2 linked regions of the Saccharomyces cerevisiae S288C genome follow. Each later gene encodes a partner of the first gene's protein in a complex. Each region holds a gene or a part of one and is shown on either strand. Other genes may lie near its edges. A codon is read from its position in the direction of its gene.

Region 1 (5,196 bases):
CAAAATTGTTCTCAAATTCATAAATTATTCATTTTTTCCACGAGCCTCATCACACGAAAAGTCAGAAGAGCATACATAATCTTTTAAATGCATAGGTTATGCATTTTGCAAATGCCACCAGGCAACAAAAATATGCGTTTAGCGGGCGGAATCGGGAAGGAAGCCGGAACCACCAAAAACTGGAAGCTACGTTTTTAAGGAAGGTATGGGTGCAGTGTGCTTATCTCAAGAAATATTAGTTATGATATAAGGTGTTGAAGTTTAGAGATAGGTAAATAAACGCGGGGTGTGTTTATTACATGAAGAAGAAGTTAGTTTCTGCCTTGCTTGTTTATCTTGCACATCACATCAGCGGAACATATGCTCACCCAGTCGCATGTTGTTACCCTCATGAAACATGTATGAGATATTACTTTGAATAGGTTACTTGCATGCATTTCGGCGTGCGGGTACCACCTCTTTGCATGAGCTTGTTCCTTTTTCAAGTTGAAGACTATATATTTTATTGAGTTTATGTTATGGGGAGGCTACCCTTTACGTCCTGGTTGTCCCTTCCCGCCTTGATTTGGCCTTCATTTTTTCAATTCTGGCCTTTAGGGTAGATGTCACTGCAGCGGCACGTTTATAACTTTCTTCTGAGGCAAAACTATCGTTGAAATCGATATCCAAATCGTCGGAGACACTGCTCACTCCAGTGCCGTTTTTTCTGTACGGCCGTATGTTAAGAGAGTTTACGCGGTGCGGCAGGTCGCCGATGGACTCGCTTGATCTTCTTTCATAGTTGACGTCCTCTTTCCTTCTGACATCTTCCTCCTCCTTAAATGGCAAAGCGGAAGATAAAGATTTTACCCCATAGTTGCTTGACACGGTGGAAGAAGGTATGGAGTATGATGAAATCGTACCCATCGATTGCAAGTTTGTATCATTTCTTTTCTTATTTCTATCCAATTCGATCTCCATGTTTCTAAGCTCGTTTTCTAGTGACAGTACTCTATCAGACAGCTTATTGACATCAATCTCCTTGGATCTTAATTGAATGTTCTTTTCGTTCAATTTAGACTGCGCTTCCTTTAGTTGCTCTCTTAGCATTTCGTTTTCTTTAATCATTTCGATCTTATAATTTTCTGTATTATTCATCTTTTCCAATAGGCTTTGTCTTTCTTTGGTCCATATCATCTCATCATTTTGTAGTTTTTGCAGTCTGTACTTGTATTCTTCAATCAACTTTTCATTCTTGTCAGTGCTATTAGCTACTACGTTTTTTGGCGTTGCCAAAGACTTAGACGTCAACAGGACCCTCGATTTATTGTTAGCAGCTACCATTGATGGTTTTGATGCGGAGGCTACTGACCCTATTGGGTTCACTTTACTTTTGTTATCATTTCTCAGCGGTGAAGATGCCACTCTCTTGGAGGGAAGTACAGAACTTTTTTTCAGGAGAAATTTATTCTCCATTGGCCCAGTTTGTTTATTCGTTTCAATAGTGCTATGGGTACTACCACTTGCAATACTGAAATTAGGTAGAGTTTTGACCGTTTCTTCAATTTTTTTCCTTTTCAAATTATCCAAGTGCTCTAATGTTTTCACAAAGGTATTCATGCCAAATATTTTAATTAGAATGGCGAAACTCTCAAATCCAATAGTTCTTATAGCAGGTTGGGTGTCGTTGACGATCTGAATCACAATTGGTACCACTTCATCCTTCAAGTATCTTTGCAGGGTCGAGTATCCATCTTTTTCTTCTTTCATGCTTGCATTAAACAATTGCGTACACTCCATTCTGATTTGAGGTGTCTTGTGCTTCATATGCTCCAAAATATCTTTCAACATATCTTCATTGCGTCCACTGGAGGCTAATGGATCGTAATACTTGCAGATGGTTAATAATGCCTTCCTAATGGCCTCTATCACAGAAGGTTTCTTTTCCTTTGTCCTGTCTAACAAGGGAGTGAAGACTAGTGAAACATAATCCTTGGAAAAGCCTGGTGTTTTTAGTTTGTCGCAGATTAATTCTACTGATTGAGCGGCTAGTGCAACAGCTTGAATGTTTGCATCTTTCTGGATAATATGGCCATATATCCCCAATAAGTTGGAATAATTTTGCGAGGTGCTTTTTAACTTCTTAGTCTGCGATAGAACACTATCCCAAAATTCTTCCAGCGCTTCCACTCTATCTTTCCATTTGGACGACGTTATCCTTTCCTGGAAGTCCTTAGGCAGTTTATCGAGGATCGTCTCCTCCGGTAGCATACTGAAGGTGTCTATTTGAACTCCACTTTGCTGTTTTGATGGTGGCATATCCGTTTCCATCCCCATCAATGTATCTCCATCCTTATCTATCTGATATTCCCCCTCATCATTCGATAATATGGACTTTCTTTTCCTGGCTTCCTCCTCTTGGCTTCTTTTCTTTTCCAATTCTCTTTTCTCCCACTCGAATAACATTTTCGATGACGATGGCTCGTCACCAACTTTTGCAAACAATTTATGAAGATCTTTCACTTGAATTGGTTTTAATTTTTTAAACAGTATCTCCTCTAACAAGTCGCTATTGTTGCCCGTAACCTTATAGATCTCGACAATCAAATTCATCGTTTGTGATCGAACGTTTCTATCACCATGACCGGCTAGTTGAGGTACGTGCTTTAATAATTCTGGTAGAAACGTTTGAACGTTCACATTAGTGAGCCCGAATGCAGCCATCAACTCATAAACACAATTGGCTGCCGCAGCAATTAATTTTGGCAGTTTTTTCTCGAAAAAGGGTATTACCAATTCCACCGATTGCGTAATAGATGTATCAAGACCACATAGTGAGAGTATACAGCTCATCGACTGCGTCTTCGTTGTAGCCCTTGAGGACGTTAAGCCCTTTTCCACAAGCAATGGTGTCCATGTTGATATTAAAGTAATATTATGTGCATTTTTCAAAGACGATGACGCAAAGGCATCTATTAAACTATTCAAGGCAACAATGGCTTGTTCTTGAGCGACCACATTAGAATCAGTTATATATTGTGCAAATAATGTAGGATCCCTCCAGTAAATTTGTATGTTGTCATCCCTACTGATGTCGCCAACGGAGTTTCTAAAAAGCTGGTTTAACTCCTTATAAGCTTCTAAACGTGCCTTCCATAACTTGTACGTTAATCGCTCTTCTAGGGGTAACGTTGTATAATCTACTTCTTCTTCTCCTGACATAGTCAACTTCAAACTCTTTAATAAAAACTCAAAAATACTTTACACTGTAAAGATAGCTGTTTCTTTGTAGTTTAGTAATGCTATTTGGTCCCTAGGTCTGGTAGGTTCTTCATTTACTCTTCCTATGGAGTGTCAAGCAGACAAAACAAAAACAAAAACAAAAACAAAAACGACACGAAAAAAAATAGATTCGTTAACCATGATAATCTTTGCACCATATAAAGGAAAAGACAAGATTGACTTCTAATGCCCAGCACAAATATTATCCAACTATTTAATTAATAAATTTTTGACTACTTAATCTTCAGACACAGATTCCTTGTCTAATAATTTGTTTAATTGAATATTGACAGATTTATCCTGCAGCTTGAACAAATTTCTTGCGCGAAAGGTTGCTAGGAAAATCAAAGGTAGTAAAAACATTAGAACTGTATCGAAAACGTAAAGGCACCATTCGTGCTGACCTATATAGCTTTGTAAGCCCATTAGAAATTGTACTACTCTGACAATGGTTCTACCATTAACCAGCAATATCCCAGCTAAAAGTATAAAATTGTACTGGAACCATTCATTACTATCCCGCACAATTTTACTAGGCGTTGCCTTCATTTTATAGTGAAGAAAAAGTTGACTGAACGTTAAAAAGGTATAACAAAATATCTGAATGAAAAGACCCACAATAATTAGGATACGCCCAGTATTCCTGCTGTTCCATGAGGATAACAACCCACCTCCTACAGCCTGTAGGACACGCCCAATCATATCTGCCACTACGAAAGAAACTGTACTAAATTTCGCAGGAATTAACATATATGCCTCCATAAGAATTAGACGTGCCATTTTGCTGAACAACATAAAAATACTAAGGGCGTAAAGTGAAGGTGCTATCAATAGAAGCACCGATTGAGCAATGAAAGTCGAAATCGAGGGGCTATTGATAAAGACTATTTTCAACACATAACCCACGAACTCTAAACAAATCCCTAAAACGAAAGGAAAATGTGTCCACATCAAACCGCGGGCAGGAAAGTATATTATTGTGGAATTTTCCTCTGACAACTCATTGTTTTCCCAGCGATGAATACGTCTCTTGCTCGTGTGTGTTGCCATTATGATCTGCACCAAGGCAGAAAGGATTAAAATGCCAAACAGAACGACAAATGCAATCGCTGCACCTTTGTGAGGATTGTATGCATAAAAACCTTCATAATCAGTGATTGCTTTAGTAAAAAAATTCCTATTGAGGCAGTTGAGTTCTTTTATCGACAATAAGTCTCTAGTACAGTAGTGAGAGTGTCATGTATTCAGTACCAAGAAGAACTTATATGCCTTTTATAATTCATCTTATAAGTTGCTAGACATACAAATAATCAATATGGAAATGTGCTTATTCCCGCTAATATCCATTAATATCCGCTGTCATTTTTCGCAACTATCACCAAGTGGAGAGAGGCTTGACAACCACCAGAAAAAAACTAAATCAGCCTGCGGAACTTTTCTCGGAAAAAATCAGTTAGAAAAGATCGTACATAGGGCCCTTTTTTGACAGTAAGATTAAAGAGCAAAACGGGACATTATAGATATGCCACCATCAAATACGTGAATTTTCCAAGCCTCATAAACTAATAGCCAACTTGCAACTCTTATAATGCAAAACTTTCTCCGTGAAAGTGTAAACCACCATCTGTCGCCCATCTTTTGGTGCTTTCAATTAAGCCTCTAGGGCCTGCAGCGAGAACCCATACTTGTGACAAATATTCAGCATGGTCTCTGCCTTGATTCGCCCACCTGCAACATTGAATAGAATCCGTCTCTGCATCACATTCGGTTTGCAGACACCATTCATAATCCTTATCTCCAAGTGTAGGCCTGCCAAAGAACACTTTAACACCTGCGGGAATTCTGATCTTTTTAGGCGCCGCCTCTAAACAAGGATCTTGGGCAGGTGGCTCAATGATCTTTGGTTGTCTGAAAACGCTCGATCCGTTAAACGAA
Region 2 (3,795 bases), on another chromosome or scaffold:
ATATCGGTAACTTTAATTTTACGGGTTCTTGTTTTACCTTCTAATGAATTTTAAGTTTTGAAAAGCAGAAAATCAGATATTGAAACTATAGATCTGCTTACCTTGAAGTTCACTATTTTTGGAATTCTCCTTGCTAATAGTTACTTCTACTCTTGCTTTGTCCTGGATATCAATGGAAGATGTCCTCATTTCCATTTTTTTTTTCAATTCGACGGCAAGGCGGGAGAAAAGGAACTAGGGATACAAAAATGCAATTACTAATGAAATCCGTGAAATAATCATGGAAATGGGTGATGTAAGAATCTGATGAAACAAGTACAAATGTCTTTGGCCCATCAACTACGATGAGACTTACTAAGCTTTCATCAAATGCAGGTTAGAGAAGGAGAATGGTTTTTTTTTTTATTTTTTGTACATAGATATTAGAGAAATATAATAAGTAGATTATAGATAAGATATCACCAAAGAGATATAACAGTAGGGGGAATTTTTTTTTTTACAATATACTTGAAATATAGAAAGGATAAGGAGGTTGGGGGCGAGAGTGAACCTTAAAATTCCTCTTCCTCAGCGTATGAGTCGGCACCCACTTCGATGTAATCTCTTTCTAAAGCAGCCAAATCTTCTCTAGCTTCGGTGAATTCACCTTCTTCCATACCTTCACCGACATACCAGTGGACGAAAGCACGTTTGGCATACATTAAATCGAATTTTCTATCGATTCTCTTCCAAGCCTCAGCAATGGATGTGGTATTTGACAACATACAGACGGCCCTATCCACAGTGGCCAATTGTGAGTTTGGTGTGGCAGTTGGAGGTTCGTAGCAAATACCGATCTTGAAACCAGTTGGACACCAATCAACCAATTGGACGGTCTTCTTGTTTTTCACCTGCTCGACAGCTCTTTGAACATCTCTTGTTACCACATCACCCCTGTATAACAGACAAGTAGCCATGTATTTACCATCTCTTGGATCACACTTGACCATCTGGTTACCAGGTTCAAAACAAGCGTTTGTAATTTCTGACACAGAGTTGGACTCATGGAATGCCTTTGATTTGGATAAGACTGGAGAATATGAAACTAAGGGGAAATGAATTCTTGGATATGGAACCAAATTGGTTTGAAATTCGTTCAAATCTACATTTAATGAACCGTCGAATCTCAATGATGCTGTAACAGATGATACCACTTGAGCAATTAGGTTGTTTAAGTTTGCAAAGCTTGGTCTTGGGATATCCAAGTTTCTTTTGCACATGTCGTAAATAGCCTCATTATCGACCATGAAAGTACAATCTGCATGTTCCAATGTAGTATGTGTAGTTAAAACTGTGTTGTAAGGCTCAACCACAGAAGTAGACACTTGTGGAGCAGGGTATACGGCAAATTCCAGCTTGGATTTCTTACCGTATTCAGCGGATAGTTCTTCCAACAGTAAGGACCCTAGACCGGAACCAGTACCACCACCAAGAGAATGGGTAAACAAGAACCCTTGTAACCCATCACATTGGTCTGCCAGTTTTCTAATCCTATCCAGAACATCGCCCAAAATTTCTCTACCAACGGTGTAATGGCCTCTTGCATAATTATTAGCCGCGTCCTCCTTACCACTGATCAACTGTTCTGGATGGAACAAGTCCTTGTAAGGACCGTTACGGACTTCGTCAATAACGTTGGGCTCTAAATCCACGTAAATAGCCCTTGGAACGAACTTACCGTAGCCGGTTTCATGGAAAAACGTGGAGAAACCCTCTTCTCCTCCCTTCGGCTTTGAAAGGCCATCTTCTAGATGTCCATCCGGCTTAATACCGTGCTCAAGGGAATATAATTCCCAACAGGCATTACCAATCTGACAACCAGCTTGACCGACTGTAAAGAGAAATCAAAAAAAAAAAAATTTTGCGTTGAAGTTAGTAATGAAAGATGAAACGCCAAAATGAACTAACAAAAAAAAGATCTAGCCTGGACGGGCAAATCGAACATACCATTAATACTAATAACTTCTCTCATTGTTTGTTTGCAGTTGTAAGTTTACAGATCTTGGGTGGCGAGAACTGTTGTAGACGGATATACTGAATTGGGTAAAACGATATAGTAGATGTTTTTGTTTTGTTTTGTTTTGTTTTGTAGTTTAGTTTTTCCCTTGGCTCGAGGCGTTTTCGCGTGGCATAACCCGGCCGGAAACTACGGTGATATTATCGTCTGGCACATATATATATATATATATGTAAACTATACTTATATTAATAGTTTCCGATCGTCTTATTACTCACTTACTATCAATGGAAGCACTATTTCATTACTTAAAAAATACTTTCTATTGCAGGATCTGAAACAGTCAGTTATAATGGAAAAAGTATGCAATTGTGTTTTCTTAAAGAAGGATACAGATATTTATATATGTTAGTTCCTCTGGAATATATCGCTAGATGCATTAAACATGAAGAAATTTGCCGTATGAATTATTCCTGTATGTACACCAAATGTGTCATGATCTTCTTGTTTCTTCAATGTGGCGCTGGCATTCGAGAGTGATGATGCTTGGTGTGAGCACTTGAAATGTCTCCTCTTTAAGAAAGACAATCCTATCCTTTCATGATCAAGGGCTTCTAAGGCGTCTCTCAATGCCAATTTCAAATCGGTAGGGTCTGACACGGTCTGGTAGCATTTATTAATGCAGTGGGTAAGGAAGAGGGAGGGCTTGATAATGTGGTTGGCTGAAATCGGATGGCAGTGCCCGCCATTGATAGACTCAAATTTTACTGTCTTCGTACAGTGGTTGAAGGTCAGTATGAGTTTTGACTCGCAGATCAAATGTATTTTGTACTTTTCAGGAGTCCTTGTTCTTTGTATACGCTTATTGCTGAGTTGCTCGTGAACATTCATCTCACAAACGAGTTCGTACTTGTTCTTATTGATTTTCTTTGTCCTGTAGATGAAACTAATGAATGAATATACTCTAACGAACTGCTCAAACGACAGGGTACATAGGAACTCGAAGGAGGATTTTGGATGCTTGAAAATAAAGTCCCTGAAGTTTAGAATGTTGTTGATATTTTCGATCTCGTCCTTGTTTACTGGATGGTGATATTCCTGTGCGCATGCAATTAGTTGTTTACCAGACCTAACTTTGCTCAATTGTGCCTTTGTTTTTGCACAACCAATGTAGTTTGGAATCTTCCTAATTAATTCCTCGGTACTATCTCGCTCAACATCACGGCCGCCGCCATTCCCGATCACAATTTTGGGCAGGATAGGATGTGAAACTCTGTCCTCTACTGTGCTGGGCACAGGCGACGGTGGTAGTTTCAAATCTGGCAGCTTTATGGCGACCGGGGCCAAAGGGGGTGAGGGAGCCGTTGCTTCAAACTGAGGTCTTGGGGAGGTCATAGGTGTGATAATAGGCATCATTGCGGCATGATTTCGTACAGCGACAGGGATAGTGACAACCTGTTGTGACCAATGGACGGGCGTATTTGTGCTCATAGAAGGCAATATGGGTGTTGGCAAGCACCTGGGGCTGGAGTACCCAAATGTCAGCGAATGTTGTTGATCTAACGCCAATATGATTGGGGGCAGAACGGGCGATAGGCACTGCCTGCCTGGAGGTGTTCTGGGAACGTGCGCCTGGTTGTTGTTATATACATGTAAATAGTCCATTGAGTCTTTACCAGGTTCTATCTTAACTAAAGAACTACTTCTACACAAGACTTAAGGCACCTTCATACGAAAACCCTCTCCACGATGGCGTTCAATCTTTCGTCTTTATATACATATGTTACTTTATATATTTA

What was found.
Region 2: the proteins of STU2 (region 1) and TUB1 are in contact, whole or in part, in a crystal structure (PDB 4U3J), measured with the Saccharomyces cerevisiae proteins. Residues at the interface, in NP_013146.1 of Saccharomyces cerevisiae: Asp513 (codon at 1,665), Thr514 (codon at 1,662), Gln515 (codon at 1,659), Pro516 (codon at 1,656), Arg519 (codon at 1,647), Phe523 (codon at 1,635), Asp546 (codon at 1,566), Leu548 (codon at 1,560), Lys549 (codon at 1,557), Lys551 (codon at 1,551), Lys552 (codon at 1,548); in NP_013625.1 of Saccharomyces cerevisiae: Tyr109 (codon at 1,571), Thr110 (codon at 1,568), Val410 (codon at 668), Gly411 (codon at 665), Glu412 (codon at 662), Gly413 (codon at 659), Met414 (codon at 656), Glu415 (codon at 653), Gly417 (codon at 647), Glu418 (codon at 644), Glu421 (codon at 635).

The regions. Positions count from the first base shown.
Region 1 is NC_001144.5:234,503-239,698, forward strand, and holds STU2 (Stu2p), read right to left. Parts: upstream 3,202-5,196; coding exon 535-3,201; downstream 1-534. Other genes in the region: YLR046C (uncharacterized protein), read right to left, coding at 3,499-4,311; FRE8 (putative ferric-chelate reductase), read right to left, coding at 4,845-5,196.
Region 2 is NC_001145.3:97,390-101,184, forward strand, and holds TUB1 (alpha-tubulin TUB1), read right to left. Parts: upstream 2,012-3,795; coding exon 1,987-2,011; intron 1,871-1,986; coding exon 552-1,870; downstream 1-551. Other genes in the region: YML083C (uncharacterized protein), read right to left, coding at 2,405-3,661. UniProt on the Saccharomyces cerevisiae protein: Tubulin is the major constituent of microtubules, a cylinder consisting of laterally associated linear protofilaments composed of alpha- and beta-tubulin heterodimers.